3 linked regions of the Arabidopsis thaliana genome follow. The protein of the gene in region 1 interacts with the protein of each later gene in a pairwise test. Each region holds a gene or a part of one and is shown on either strand. Other genes may lie near its edges.

The links. Proteins that work in one complex are often made in the same cells at the same time.
Region 2: the proteins of ERL2 (region 1) and PRA1.E interact in a protein complementation assay, tested with the Arabidopsis thaliana proteins (one large-scale study listed by BioGRID).
Region 3: the proteins of ERL2 (region 1) and AT4G10080 interact in a protein complementation assay, tested with the Arabidopsis thaliana proteins (one large-scale study listed by BioGRID).

Annotation. Positions count from the first base shown.
Region 1 is NC_003076.8:2,227,588-2,235,409, reverse strand, and holds the start of ERL2 (ERECTA-like 2), read left to right. Parts: upstream 1-1,822; 5' UTR 1,823-2,177; coding exon 2,178-2,271; intron 2,272-2,681; coding exon 2,682-2,820; intron 2,821-2,882; exon of another isoform or gene 2,883-2,915; coding exon 2,916-2,987; intron 2,988-3,075; coding exon 3,076-3,147; intron 3,148-3,233; coding exon 3,234-3,305; intron 3,306-3,388; coding exon 3,389-3,460; intron 3,461-3,556; coding exon 3,557-3,628; intron 3,629-3,705; coding exon 3,706-3,777; intron 3,778-3,865; coding exon 3,866-3,937; intron 3,938-4,012; coding exon 4,013-4,081; intron 4,082-4,167; coding exon 4,168-4,239; intron 4,240-4,330; coding exon 4,331-4,402; intron 4,403-4,487; coding exon 4,488-4,559; intron 4,560-4,634; coding exon 4,635-4,706; intron 4,707-4,781; coding exon 4,782-4,853; intron 4,854-4,949; coding exon 4,950-5,021; intron 5,022-5,108; coding exon 5,109-5,180; intron 5,181-5,272; coding exon 5,273-5,344; intron 5,345-5,429; coding exon 5,430-5,501; and 17 more. UniProt on the Arabidopsis thaliana protein: Receptor kinase that regulates inflorescence architecture and organ shape as well as stomatal patterning, including density and clustering, together with ERL1 and ER.
Region 2 is NC_003070.9:2,807,013-2,810,324, forward strand, and holds PRA1.E (prenylated RAB acceptor 1.E), read left to right. Parts: upstream 1-1,747; 5' UTR 1,748-1,920; coding exon 1,921-2,550; 3' UTR 2,551-2,763; downstream 2,764-3,312. Other genes in the region: AT1G08760 (GPI-anchored adhesin-like protein, putative (DUF936)), read left to right, coding at 1-45, 299-390, 530-1,397; AIP3 (ABI3-interacting protein 3), read right to left, coding at 2,913-3,173. UniProt on the Arabidopsis thaliana protein: May be involved in both secretory and endocytic intracellular trafficking in the endosomal/prevacuolar compartments.
Region 3 is NC_003075.7:6,299,470-6,304,443, reverse strand, and holds AT4G10080 (uncharacterized protein), read left to right. Parts: upstream 1-1,699; 5' UTR 1,700-1,883; coding exon 1,884-2,735; intron 2,736-3,864; coding exon 3,865-3,990; 3' UTR 3,991-4,425; downstream 4,426-4,974. Other genes in the region: AT4G10070 (KH domain-containing protein), read left to right, coding at 4,685-4,850.

The sequences.
Region 1 (7,822 bases):
TCTAGTTTAGACTACTGTAGAATGCGTACAGATTGGTCTTCTTACATATTAGAGCCATGCACCGTTCGAGTCTAAAAGCCTAGAGTTGCTTATACAGCTGAACCTCCACAAGACTTATATAAATCTTGTGGATATACGAGCCCCCGTCTCCTTTTACGTTTTTGTGGATTTACATAAATCTTTATGGTCACCGAGTCTACTGATATAATTTTACTGTCGCAGTTTGTTTCCACTACTTAAGTTTCTATAATTTCACAGTTTGAAAGAAAAATTACTGGTTATTCAGCTAAATTACAAAGATTAGTTTAATTAGTTTAGCCAGTATAATGTTTTAGTAAAGTATTAAACGGCATTTTTCGTTGGGAGAATTATGTTATGGTATAATCTACTAATACATACTTTTACACATATATCAAAAAGTTTGACCATAGTAGGTAGTACAACATAGAAGAATCAAGATCGGAACCAGCAAGGAAGAAGATACGGTCGGTCCATATTAAGCTAAGAGGACCAACGTAACTCGATATATATTTTTCTGTTCTCTACGTTACCACCATATAAATTTTAATATTGAAAAAATCATCTTTTGGCATTGTGTTTGATGTCGGATTCGGAATATGGAAAGAGGAGAGATATGAGATTTTGGCACAAAGGAAGCTGCCAAAGCATTAGGGCAACCGAGTAGTAACGAGATCAAACATCGTTTCAATCGGACGGTCGGGGTTTGACCAATATTTCTCGGATATCTTTTGGACCCTACGTTCTGACTTGAACTTGATCAGTCACTTCAGTACCTTAGTTTTCATTTTCAATGTGATCATGAGTTTTTTTTTACATGTTAGCTTCAAAACAAATACTAATATTCATTAACTATGGATCGGCATAGTTTTCATGTAATCAGCTGAGCGTTTATCATATTGATTGAAGCTAACATGTAAAATTCTCATGATCACATTGACTTTTGCCTACAAATTTTAAAAGAGTATACAAATAATTGCTTAATGAAGATAGCTTCCATAGAGAAAGAGTAACAGCTTTATACGGAGGCATAGCTTTAGACACGATCTCTGCTCTTGTGTTTTTTGTTTAACACTGAATCCACAGTGAAATTACTGCTCATTTTTTTTCATTTTTTATTACATTTTTTTTTTTACTTTTTTATTTATTACAATCTACAGTTCTACCAACTTATTCAACCTAGTGGTACCATATCGACCCCAAAATTAATCAATCTAATTACAAGGTAGAAATAGAAAGATTTTATCAAAGGAGACAACTCTGATCGATAATATGTTGCAATAAAACCATGAAAAACTGTAAAAAATATTGAAAGCTGAAGAAAAATTTTCAAATCGATAAAAGGATAGTACTAAACCAATCCGGTTTGTGGCATCTTTTTCACCCAATCACTATCAAAGCATTAACTAAAAATCACAAGGAAGAGCATAATTTGATTCTCTACATCGCAGTCCACGATAGGATTTCTCTATCCACCGTTGGATCAAATTTAATAATGATGCACGCGCGCGTCAACGGGATTTTACCCAGCAAAGGAATGTCTTTTCACCGGACTCTTAAAAGACGTTCTTCTTTTTTCACCTTTGCATTGGAAAACGGCGTTTCTTCTTAGAACCGTCGCCGTCAAATCATACGGCCTAATAAATCTCCGTTTAACGCCGTTACTTTACCGTTAAGTACTAAAAAAACAAAAAAAAATCATTTCGATCACTGTCTCATTAAGATGATCGGAGATGTTTTAGCAGGGTTTAACAAGTGATGATAGTAATGTATGTATATATGTTACTGACATTATTTTGTCGTTGTCTAATAGGAGGGTACTAAAGTTTCTCTCTCTCATGGCGTCGGAGCTCAGCCTCTAGTAATGTAGACTGTCCTCTCTTTCTCTCTCTCTTCTTTAAACATCTCTGCTCTGTTTTCCTTCCAGTTCACGCTAATCTCCTGTGTCGGTCCCCTCTCTCTTTTCCTTTGGTCTCTCCCAACAATGGCAGAACGACTTTGTACCCTTCTTTTGCTCTTTGTTTGAATTTCGTTTCTTGCTACAAAGCTTCAAAGGATCTGACTTTTCCCTAAACAGAAAAAGAGGTCTTTAACCAAAAAAGGTTGTTACTTGTTTTCTGGGTTTCGTGGTGTTACTCTTGAGGAAGAAGAAGAAGAAGATGAGAAGGATAGAGACCATGAAAGGCTTGTTTTTTTGTCTGGGGATGGTGGTTTTCATGCTACTTGGTTCTGTTTCTCCAATGAACAACGAAGGTTCTAGCTCTTTCAAAATCTCTTTTGTTTCTCTATTGTTCCATGAGCCAGAGAGATTTCTCTCTTTTTTTTCCAGAGAACTTGAATTTTTATAAATTTGTAACCTTTCTTCCGATTTTGAAGATATCATATCTGTTTATCTGTCTATCTAAACAGTGACTGTTCCTGAGAGAGCAAAAGTCATTTGATTCGTTCTTAAAAAAAACTTACTTTAGTGTTTTTGGAAATATGATAATAATTTGTGACCTAGCTCACTTCACAGTTGAGTTTATTATACTAATGATCTAGTGGGGTTTTAGTTTTTGGCATGTGGTTCATATTTTACCATTTGACTATCATCAGTGTCAAATGATTAAATAAGCTTTTTTTGATTTGTTTATTGACTTCAAAAAGCTTTTGATTTTGCACAGGAAAAGCGTTGATGGCGATAAAGGCTTCATTCAGCAACGTGGCGAATATGCTTCTTGATTGGGACGATGTTCATAACCACGACTTTTGTTCTTGGAGAGGTGTCTTCTGTGATAACGTTAGCCTCAATGTTGTCTCTCTGTAAGGATTTTTTTTTTATCTCATTCCGTATTGTTGTGCTGTCTCTTTGATTTCAGACTTTTCTGATTTGCCTTTGTTTTTTTTTATGTTGGAAGTAATCTGTCAAACCTGAATCTTGGTGGAGAGATATCATCTGCCCTTGGAGATTTGATGAATCTGCAATCAATGTTCGTTTCTCTTCTCTCTTTTACTTGTATGTTTGAGAAGAAACATGGTGTTAAATCCTTATGAAGCTCTGGTCTTTCTTAATTACAGAGACTTGCAAGGAAATAAATTGGGTGGTCAAATTCCAGATGAGATTGGAAACTGTGTTTCTCTTGCTTATGTGTAAGTTTTGTTTGATGCTTGTAGTTTCATGTTAATGAGAACTTAATCTATCTCTATTATATAATCAAAAACCTTTCTTGTTTCAGGGATTTCTCCACCAATTTGTTGTTTGGAGACATACCGTTTTCAATCTCTAAACTCAAACAGCTGGAGTTTCTGTATGTCTTCTTATCTCTCTCATTCGTGTGTAATCTTTGCCTGATTTTGGCGTTTTTTTGTCAACTGTTTCATTCTAATGCAGGAACCTAAAGAATAATCAGCTCACTGGTCCAATACCAGCAACCTTAACTCAGATTCCAAACCTTAAGACCCTGTGAGTTTCAATCAGATAATATTCTATCTATGAAGCAGGTTATTTAATGCAAAGGGATCATTGCAATGATAATAGATTATTCTCATGATTTTGCAGTGACCTCGCAAGAAACCAGCTTACTGGTGAGATACCAAGGTTACTCTACTGGAATGAAGTTTTACAGTATCTGTAAGTAGTTCATCTACTTATCTTAAGTCTAGGCATCCAGAGATTTATGTTCTGATTGTGATGTATTCATTTTGCAGCGGTTTACGTGGGAATATGTTAACTGGGACATTGTCTCCTGATATGTGTCAGCTGACGGGTCTGTGGTACTTGTAAGTGAATCCGGTTCAGCTCTTTATTTTCTTTTACTCTCAACCTCAGATTTCGAGTAATTTATAAGTGAATGTTTGTTGTTGTTAGTGATGTGAGAGGCAACAACCTTACTGGAACTATCCCAGAGAGCATTGGCAATTGCACAAGCTTTGAGATCTTGTATGTGTCTTCTCCTTAAGGAATGAATATTCAGCACAGAACTCGAGTGATCTTATTCGTCATTTGCATTTTCAGGGATGTATCTTATAATCAGATTACCGGAGTTATACCCTACAATATTGGTTTCCTCCAAGTAGCTACTCTGTAAGTATTGTTAAGACCATCTTACACTTTTGTGTGGTTTGTTAAAGCATGTCAATATGGTTAAGTGGTGATGGGTTCTCTTGCAGGTCACTTCAAGGAAACAAGTTGACTGGCAGAATTCCGGAAGTGATTGGTCTGATGCAGGCTCTTGCTGTATTGTATGTCATTTTCATATTCAAATGCTTGCTTTTTTCCTACTCTCGTTTCTTGCTCTTCTGACTGAATGAAATAAACTTATCCAATGCGCAGGGATTTGAGTGACAATGAATTAACTGGGCCTATTCCACCAATACTTGGGAATCTGTCATTCACTGGAAAACTGTGAGTCCCTTTTTTTTTCTTCCCTCTGTGTCATGCATATGTTCAGATCTTCACATATATGGATAATGTCTTTTCTTGAAAATAGGTATCTCCATGGCAACAAGCTCACTGGACAAATCCCACCCGAGCTAGGCAATATGTCACGACTCAGCTATTTGTAAGATTGAGAACTTGAAACTCCAATATCTGTTCTTCTCAATACTTGATCTTATGAGGGTTTACTCTTTCGCAGGCAACTAAATGATAATGAACTAGTGGGAAAGATCCCACCTGAGCTTGGGAAGCTGGAACAATTGTTCGAACTGTGAGTTTTTATCCTTCAGTATACTTAAATTTTTATCTTAGGTGAAAAGCTGGTTGATGTAACTTTGCCATCTAGGAATCTTGCGAACAACAATCTTGTAGGGCTGATTCCATCTAACATTAGTTCCTGTGCTGCCTTGAATCAATTGTAAGATATGATATGAACCCTTTCCCATTTTATGCTTCTCTCTATTTTTCTTCTTCTTATCTTAATGAAAACTTATTGTGCTTTTATTGTGTTCAGCAATGTTCATGGGAACTTCTTGAGTGGAGCTGTACCACTTGAATTCCGGAATCTTGGAAGCTTGACTTATCTGTAAGCTTCAATGACTGCATGTACAGTATGATTATGTATTCGAACTATTAGTCTGTGTAAATCTTGATTCAATGCTGTAAATTGCAGAAATCTTTCCTCAAACAGTTTCAAGGGCAAAATACCTGCTGAGCTTGGCCATATCATCAATCTTGATACATTGTATGTTATTTTCTACTGATTTACATCCATGTTCCGCCTAGTTACCTACTGATATGTGTACCAACTACCAACTCATACAAACTTTGTTTCAGGGATCTGTCTGGCAACAATTTCTCAGGCTCAATTCCATTAACACTTGGTGATCTTGAGCATCTTCTCATCTTGTATGTCTTCATCAAGCCCTAAAGTTGCACTGCTTTGCATTAACTCTCTCAGATTTGTTGACTTGAGTTTTGTTTTAATTGTCAGAAACTTGAGCAGAAATCATCTGAATGGCACATTGCCTGCAGAATTCGGGAACCTCCGAAGCATTCAGATCATGTAAGGCTTGTCTTATGCTTAGATTTCTTCTGTTATGATAAAATCTTCCTACTTACAAACTTTTCTCCATCCTTCTCAGCGATGTGTCATTTAATTTTCTTGCCGGTGTTATTCCAACTGAACTTGGCCAGTTGCAGAACATAAACTCTCTGTAAGTAAACCATCACTTCTCCTCTGCAATTTACCGTATAATGCATATAAATAATTCTTCTTTGCTTCTTTAATGTACAGGATACTGAACAACAACAAGATTCATGGGAAAATCCCTGATCAGCTAACTAACTGCTTCAGTCTTGCCAATCTGTACGTGTTCCTTTGTTACAACAAGATGTGTACTCTCAGATAATCTTATGATCATTTCTGAATTCATATATTTTTCCTGCTCGTTCTTTATACATTGTAGGAACATCTCCTTCAATAATCTTTCTGGAATAATCCCACCTATGAAGAACTTTACACGTTTTTCCCCGGCCAGGTATCACCTTTGCCATATTGTTACCTGTCTTAGCTTTTCATATAATCAGTATACCAAATATACCTTTTCGTTTATAGCTTCTTTGGAAATCCATTTCTCTGCGGGAACTGGGTTGGATCAATCTGTGGCCCATCTTTACCTAAGTCACAAGGTATATGAATCTGCATTTATCCTATTGCATTGTTTTTAGCTGACATATCTCTCACTACATTTCTTGCTCTTGACCAACCAGTATTCACCAGAGTTGCCGTGATTTGTATGGTTCTCGGTTTCATCACTCTCATATGCATGATATTCATTGCGGTTTACAAGTCAAAGCAGCAGAAACCAGTCTTGAAAGGCTCTTCAAAACAACCTGAAGGTCTTGGTCTCATAGTTTATGATCTCTTCTCTTTCGTTCATTAAGATTCACAACAGCATTATGATATATCTTGTATGGATCCTTCAGGGTCAACGAAGCTGGTGATTCTTCACATGGACATGGCTATTCACACGTTTGATGATATCATGAGAGTTACAGAAAACCTCGATGAGAAATACATCATTGGATACGGTGCTTCTAGCACAGTTTACAAGTGCACCTCCAAAACTTCCCGACCTATTGCCATTAAGCGAATCTACAATCAGTATCCCAGCAACTTCCGCGAGTTTGAAACAGAGCTCGAGACCATTGGGAGCATCAGACACAGAAACATAGTAAGCTTGCACGGATACGCCTTATCTCCCTTTGGCAACCTCCTCTTCTACGACTACATGGAAAATGGCTCTCTTTGGGATCTTCTCCATGGTTTGCTATTCTTCTTCTCTTGGACCAGTTACGTTCTTTTCAGCCAGTTTTCTACTTTTGGAAGACTTAAACGTAGTGATTGTATGATGCAGGGCCTGGGAAGAAGGTGAAGCTTGACTGGGAAACAAGGCTGAAGATAGCTGTTGGAGCTGCGCAAGGACTTGCATATCTTCACCATGACTGCACACCTAGGATAATCCATCGAGACATCAAGTCATCAAACATACTCCTTGATGGGAATTTCGAAGCGCGTTTGTCAGATTTTGGGATTGCCAAGAGCATACCAGCCACCAAAACTTATGCTTCAACCTATGTTCTTGGAACCATTGGATATATTGACCCAGAGTATGCTCGAACTTCGCGTCTGAACGAGAAGTCTGATATCTACAGTTTCGGTATTGTCCTTCTTGAGCTTCTAACCGGCAAGAAGGCTGTGGATAACGAGGCCAACTTGCATCAAATGGTATGAATTTGAGTATAAAGTGTTTCACAAGTTTATTCTTGGAAACAATTTGATATCATTAACTTTTTTGTTGCAGATTCTATCAAAGGCGGATGATAACACAGTAATGGAAGCTGTTGATGCAGAGGTCTCAGTGACTTGCATGGACTCAGGACACATCAAGAAAACATTTCAGCTAGCTCTCTTGTGCACCAAGCGAAATCCTTTGGAGAGACCCACCATGCAGGAGGTCTCTAGGGTTCTGCTCTCACTTGTCCCGTCTCCACCTCCAAAGAAGTTACCGTCGCCTGCAAAAGTACAGGAAGGGGAAGAACGGCGTGAGAGCCACTCTTCAGATACAACAACCCCACAGTGGTTTGTTCAGTTCCGTGAAGATATCTCCAAAAGTAGCTTATAAGATAATAACTTTTAGGGTTCCCTTTTCTGTTGTGTTCTTGTATGTCAAGAAAGATCGGAGGGGCAGGTTTTTAAGTGATTTAGGGCTAGTATGAGGGGTATTTTGGGAAGGGAGATAAAATTGAAGGCATTAAAGATAAGAACATGGGATAGGTGAAAGAGTAGGTGAAGTTAATTGTTTTTCCAATGGACATCTTCAC
Region 2 (3,312 bases), on another chromosome or scaffold:
ATCCAATGGAGTTCACTCCCTCCATCTCTTTCGAGGATGGGACAGGTATGGCCTTGACTGCTCTTGGATCCTTATATGTGCTTGCTTCATTAATAGGCTTTGAAGCATTTCTAGTGATTAAGAAAATTCATCTTCAAAACAAGCAGTTTAGAAATTCGATCATCCAAACTAACATATTTACTCTGGTGATTGAAGAGAACCTCTTAGTATAGCATATGCATCTTATGTTTTGGTCTTTGACATCGTGATTAAATATTAAGACAGCTTATTGAGTCATTGCTGCTATCAATATTTGCAGGAAGTATTGAGGCATAGAGAAGCTGCTCAAGTAGTCGCAATAGAGGCCCTGCAAGAAGCCTCTGCTTCCGAGAGCTTACTTCAGTGCCTCATGTGCGTAATATCTTAACCAAGTTTTATTCAGGCCGGCTTTGGATGTTTGAGGGACAAAACATAAATGTTTTTTGTATCTGAATGTTATTGTTACTGCCTTGGTGGTTTCTGAACTTTGTTCTGCTTTTCCTTTTTGTAGTATGTACTCCGATCTTTTGTCAACGGCGAAGGAAGATGATCCATTGCCAGTCGTTGAGCAGTTCTTGAAGCTCCATTCCGGTTTGAAAAACGTCCAAGTAATAACAGAGTCATTGTCCAAATTACTCTCTTTGATGTCCTCCCCAGATAATGAAGAAAACAGATCCGAGGAAGCTATAAAAGCGGCATCGGAAAAGCAGAAATTGGCAGCCTCATGGGTCCAAGCTGCGTTAGTCACTAACTTATCGCCCTTCTCTGTCTACTCCAGCAAACAAGCCAAACTTGCTGCCTCCAGGAGCAAACCCGTGATCATACTCGAGAGCCCGGGTAATAATTCCTCTAGTAAAACCCGTGGGAATATTCAAAACAAGCCAACGATTGGATCTAAACTCGTAGCACAAGGAATGATCCGTAAACACAGGGAGAACAGTAGCAGCCAGAAAGCCACCTCGGTAGCAGGGTCAGAGTCTCCACCGTTAAACTGGGTGAAAGGGAATGGTCTAAACGAGGCAACTGATCTGGCAGAGAAGTTGCAAATGGTTTCACAAGATTGGTTTTTGGGTTTCGTAGAGAGATTCTTAGACGCTGACGTGATTACATCATCCAGTCTCAGTCTGTCTGATAATGGGCAGATTGCGGGGATGCTGTCTCAGCTGAAGAGTGTGAATGATTGGTTAGACGAGATTGGATCGAAAGAGGATGAAGAAGGGTTACAAGAAGTCTCTAAGGAAACAATCGATCGATTACGGAAGAAGATCTACGAGTATCTGCTCACACATGTGGAGTCAGCAGCTGCAGCACTTGGTGGTGGTGGTGGCTCAGTCTCTTCTCCTAGACCTAAACCAATCGAAACCAAAGCAAAGAGATAAATGATGATGAAGAAGCTTCTACTTGTTTTTTTTTTTTCTTGTATATATGAAAATTGGCGGTCAATTTCTTCTGTATAATTCAGGCATCACTAAGAAGCCTACCGACGTGAAATGTTGGTATTTTTTATTCAGTCAGATACTCACTAAAGAGAACCTATTGGTTCGAAAGATTTCAACATATTTTTTATCCATTAATAACGATATCTCTTCTCTAGCGATTAAAGATTAGAAGATCAGCAAAAACAAAAATATCATTAGAAGACTTAGATCCATCACAATTCTGTAATTTTACAAAAACTATGACGATTCATGATTATGTGGAAATAGAGGCGATCGGTAAAAGTTGATTTGTTTATGGTTTATTTGTAATAATAAAAAAACTACAAGGTCCCAAAAGAAAATAATAATCACCGAACAAGTCCCTCCCATCATCCCATATTCCACATGGACTCTTTGAAATCCAAGGTTTTGCCATTTGACCACAGATTTGTGTTATTTTCAAACACAAAATCAACCAATTCCGATGAATCAGAAACCTCCGCCGTACGGTTATGGCGGCGCTGGTGGTGGAGGAGTCGGTCCTTCTTCCACTTCCAACACCACAATCATCGGGACGTTGAGTGCACGCGCCAAGCAGACGACGCAATCGATGATCACGACGCTCCGTCCATGGCGAGAGATTCTCGATCTGTCCGCGCTCTCTCTCCCTCGCGGGTATGATGAAGCCATGGCGCATCTAAAGCACAACATCTCTTATTTCCGTGGAAATTACGCTCTCGCCGTTCTCGCCATTGTTTTCCTCGGCCTTATTTACCATCCGATGTCTATGATCGCTTTCATCGTCGTCTTCATCGGATGGATTCTTCTCTATTTCTCTCGAGACGCAAACGATTCGATTGTGATTTCGGGGAAAGAAGTAGATGACAAGATCGTGCTGGTTTTACTCAGCTTGGTAACGGTTTTGGCATTGGTATATACAGATGTGGGCGAAAACGTTCTGGTTTCGCTGATCATTGGTTTGCTCATCGTCGGAGCTCACGGCGCTTTTCGTAATACCGATGATTTGTTTCTTGATGAAGAAAGTGCTCGCCGTGGTGGCCTGGTGTCTGCCGGTTCTGGTAACCGGCCACCGTCGAGTTATACCCCAATTTGAGTAAACCGGTTTGGAGAATTACTCGTAATTTCTTGGGTTTTTGATTGAAGAAGCTAAGGGAATCAATTTAGGGCTTTGTATTTTGGATTTCCCAAAGATTCTTGTATTTATATTTTGGCGTGTGTGTTTCATTTTGTTTGAATGTATACAAATTCTGGGAAAAAACAAATTGGTGTTATGGTATTTTATAGAATTGCCAAAAACATAATTTCCGATAGAAAAAGAAAAGTATGCATTAACCAGATGAAATTTCATAATGAACAAAACCAGTATGTTAAATTCAAGAATCCTTTGGTCTACACTCACAGTAGAATCATAAACTGATGCAATAGAAGAAAAACAAAGTTGGGAATAACTACTAACTAGTCTTCTTCAAGATTGATAGAATCTTTGAACTTAGCATACAATACCTTCTTCAGCGCTGCCATTTGTGTTACAATTGATTCCTTCTCTTGCTCGAGTTTCTCAAGGCTTTTGCAGGTCGCTTCTTTCATCTCTTCTATCTTTGTTTCTACGTCGTCCCTCGGCACATGAGCAAACACTTCTCCTATTTGAAAACGCACCATCTCCTCATCAGCAAGGATCAACTCGTTCCCTGCATCCTCTAGATTTTCACACTTTTCCTGCATAAATCAATTGTTTTTTAATCAAGCTAGATGCAGAAACACACAGTAGAATGCTGTTTTAATCCCCCTAATGAAACGATTGAACAAGACAAGTATCCACTTATTATTGCAAAGTCCCACATCTCCCTTTTTGTTT
Region 3 (4,974 bases), on another chromosome or scaffold:
GTCGTAACCAGAAAAACTTTCAACAAACTTAATAGTTATCCAATATTTACTAGACTAATTACATATAATGCCATTAGTGGTACTTATGCATATTTTTCCTCTACATTTAAGAGAGTAGCAATTAATAAAGAAAATTAATCAAAAAACCATATATATTTGAGCAAACAAGTAAAAAGTATATATCATAAATTATGATGAACAACATATAATATAAATGTTTATTATATGTTTCGTACTTTATTTTTTTAGGTTTTATAGAAAACATTTAGAATTTTAACATATATGACATTCTATTTTTTTGTTATAAATTGCAAAAAATCTAAATGTATATGTGAGCCCATATGATTCTTGAATATATTCGGAACATAGTTTTACATAAATTAGTTAGTAACATTTCATTTATTACACATTCACTATGAACAATATTTCAATATTAATCTATGTTAAAAATGTATCCGCTTACTGATTACTTTCAATATTATTTCTTTTCAAATTTTTACCTTATCAATTTATTAAAACTTTTACACAGTTTATTCAATTTAATTAGTCATTTACTCATTTTAGTTAAAATTTATTTACAACCCAAAACCTTATCGTAACAATATAAATTGATTAATAAAATAAGGGATATGCAATAAATCAATCCTAACTACATAGAATTATGAAGAATAATAAAAGATAATCAAAAATTTATTACGTTTAAAACATAATTATTCATACTCTTTTCAGTTTTTATATTGAATTGTTTCCAAAATAAAATCTTATAAAATACAAAAAATATTCGAATATATTTCTGAATTATAGGAATGATATTTCAGATTTTCTTTTGGGTCAATATTTTAATTTAAAATCTTATTCCAAATATAGAATATCCTAATTCCTAACTAATAAAATCTCCAAAATATATCAGTTACTAAATCATATTCAAATATTCACACTTATATATCAAGTGATAATATAAAATCTGTTTCCAAAAACTTGTTTATATATTTCATATAACTATTTCTCCCTGTACATAGTTCGGGTAAATCATCTAGTATTTGATTAATTCATTTGATCTGCACCATACGATTCGTCGTGAACCCTAATTAAATCATTGTGAAAAACCAAAAAAATGAAAGAACAAAAGGAATAAATACCATACTTCTCTCAATCTACCAACCTTTAATGTCAAAAGATCTAGTTGAGTACTGAGAATGTTACGTGACCAATTAGATACCTCTACATAACTACTTCCTCAAAGTGGATAAGAACCATTCTTTTCGAAACAAACTAAACTATTAGAGACTAAACCATTTAATTTTGGAGCGGACAATAATCCGTTATAAACTAAATTTATTTCTATATAAAATCGGTCTAAAGTTTTTACCGATTTTTTTTTTCTATATTTTTGGTCAGTACTATTATAAATACTAATCTATAAATAATAAATAAGAAAATATTTCAATCTACCGATGGATTTATTTGCAAAACCCACCTCAACCGTTTGAATCTTGATTATATATATTTTTCTTACATCGTCTACTCTATTTTAACCGATACATATTTGTTTAATTCATTTGATCCGCACCATACGATTTATTGCCGAATCCTAATTAAATCGTTTTAAAAAATAAAATAAAAATGAAAGAACAAAATGAATAAATACTATAGTTCTCTGAATCTACTAAACTTTAATGCCAAAAAATTTAGTTGAGGACTGAGATTGACACGCAACCAATTAGATACCTCCACGTAATTACTTTCTCAAAGTGGATAAGAACCATTCTTTTCCATCATCAACCGCTCTAATTTGTTGCGATCCTTTTCCAATATTTGGGGTTTTATCCATTAGGGTTTCTGATTATTGCAATCCCAATCTGAAATCTTCGAATTCGATCATCATGGATGATTGGGAGCTTCTTCATCATGGCTCTGATACAGAATCAACTGATTCAATCACATCGGAGACGAAATTAGAGAGTTCAAGCGTAATCGATGACGGTATGATTCTTTCTGATCATTTCTCTGCTACTGATCGGGTGATTGAATCGGGTTATTTTGATTCTTTTCGGGTTGATTACGGGTCGGAGTGTCTGAATCCGGGTGAGGTTAGTGTTGATTCTGGTTTGGATCAGTTCAGTGTTAGTCAATCGGGTGATGATTGTGTCAGAAATGAATTTGGGGTTTATGATTCAGAAACTGGAATTTTGGGTGATGGTGAGGTTAGGCTTAGTGATTTTGAAGCTGCCAATGAGAAATATGTTGAGAGCGAAGCTGCTACTGAATTAACTGGTGGAACCGTATCTCACTATGAAACAGAGAATCTCGAAGAATTCGTTGATGGAAGGCACGGTGAGAACGAATCGGGTGTTGAAGAACCTATTGAGGATTCGAGCAAGTTGTGTTCTGATTTAGGGGGAAATGAATTGGTTTCTCGAGATTCTGGGGTTGTGAATGGTGAAAAAGAAGTTGTTTCTGATAGTGTAGTTGCTTCTAGTGAAGTAATTGAGGGAAGTGGAGGAGATACTGTGGAAGTTGGAGGCGTGAGTTCTGGTGGTGAGGGTAAAAGTAGAGAGACTGTGTGGTGGAAGATGCCATTTGTGCTTCTTAAGTACTCTGTGTTTAGGATTGGTCCGGTTTGGTCTGTCTCTATGGCTGCTGCTGTGATGGGTTTGGTTCTCTTGGGACGTAGATTGTATAATATGAAGAAGAAAGCTCAAAGGTTCCATCTTAAAGTTACGATTGACGATAAGGTACACTATATTATCATTGACCCTTGTGTTTTCATTTTGCTTGAAGTTGGTAAGCTGGTCTAGATTGATACGTTTTAGGAGTTAGCTACACTCTATGTTGTGTTGATGCAATTGGTCTGACTTGAGCCGTAGAATTTCAAGTTTAGTTTAGTTCTTGTCTTGTCCTGCCTTATATTAAGGTGGGGGTATTGGACGCATGAATTTGATAGACTTCAATAGAATCTTAAATTCTAGTGTTATTCAATTAGACATTTCACAAATTCTTTTAAATTCTTGTGTTATTTAACTTGCTCATTTCTTAATTCTATTAGTTGCAAGTGTTATTCAGTTTTCGGTAGTTTTGTTTGACAACGTTACTTCACAAGAATTTAATAGAAAAATTGGTCTAAAATGTGAAGAACAAATTCTGAGTTTTTGAGTTGAGATTTGGATAGAATATAACACATCCATCCTTTTTTTCTCTTTCATCGATTTGCTTCAACCATACAAAAAAAATTCTCAAATCTGAGGGAGAGTGTTTAACACATTTATTAGAATCTGTGATTTCGATCCGGTTTATTCTTCGGATCATCATTCGTTCGATTATATATGAGGAGAGTGCGTTAATCTATAGAGAGCAGATGAGCGGAGGTTGTGATGACGTCGTTGTCGTTGTTGTCAAAATATGGATCTCTTCCATTTCATGTAAACGTCAACGTAGATTGTTTCTGGGTTAAGAGGTTTGTGAAGGAAAAAGTACAGTTTTTAGAGATTGGGCATGGTGGCTGTCCCGATAAAGAGCATTGTGGAACAAAAGATTTCAGTAATTTATCTTCTTAATTCTAGTAGAATTCTATTAAAAATACTGCAAAATATTTATTTGAATTGAGAAGAAAGATTCGAAATTCTTTTATTATACCTGAAAATCTAGAATTTATGTCCAATACCCCCCTCTAAGATATAGATTTTGTAGTTAATATGTTCTTGTAATCTGTCTGAATTAAGTACAAAAATACTGAGGCATCATCCGCTGAAAATGCTGTGATTTGATATTTTCCCTTAGCGCACATCTCTTTGCTTGGTTGGTATTTGTTTGGTGTTGGTTTACTTCTATCATTATCACGTCTTGGGTTGTTTATGATCTGTGCAGAAGGCGTCGCGGGTGATGAGTCAGGCTGCTCGACTCAATGAAGTGTTCACAGAGGTAAGAAGGGTCCCTGTGATCCGCCCTGCTCTACCATCGCCTGGCGCATGGCCGGTTTTGAGCCTTAGATGAGAAGCCGTTTTCTACAATACCTAGACACAGTGGAGAATCAATCATACAATGTCCATCACTTTATGTACCGTAAGAATACAAATACATGTGTTTATGTCGTACCTATGCATAAGTAGTAGTTTACCATCTTATGAAATCGCGTATGTGAGTCGTGTCCCAACCGTGGGATACACTGCAGAGTGATTACCGTAGCGATTTATGTATGTTCAGAGACTGAAAATCCCAGTTGGTAAGCCTTTTTCTATGTTTGATCTTAAGAATTTCATAAGCTATATGTGGGTTTTGTTATGGATTTCATTGGGGTTTCAAGCTTGTAAACTATTATAGAGAGGAGGACATAGTCCAAAGTCGATAAAACCACTACAATGGAAATAAAGACCCTACAAATTTCTACTATGTTGTCGATTCTACAAAATTTGAGTAGAAGCTATCGTCTCAACAACATCCCCTCGACGATCAACAAAGAAAACATCATTATTTTTGATAACTTTAAAAAAAAAACTGGTAGCCCATTTTTAGGCCCAATAAAAGCCCGAACATTATAAATAGACGTTAAAGCCTTAAACGTTACTTCTCCACCACCGTTCAGAGTCGCAACCCAAACTCTTTTCACTGCCGGAGATAATTCTCTTCTTCCCCAAACCCTACAGTACTCAGCTTTCCCTAAATTCCTCGCCGGACGATTCGTTTCCAGATGACGGAGGAAGATTTTGTTGTTATCTCTACGCCGCCTGTCGATCTCAAGCGAAAGCTCGACGAAGTTGAGCTTAATGGAAATATCGTGGATGATAGCAATCAAACATCTGATTCTTCTCAGGCTAAACGAGCGAAGCTAGAAGATGAAGCTCAAGATGGTTTAGGTGTTTCTGTCTCTTTGGCTTCTTATAAACTAAAGTTTTGATTTTTATGATGTTCTATGGTTATAGTTTTCAAAAAAAGAGATTTCTTTGAGTTTGTTGATAAATCAGTCTTTCTCATTGTTGT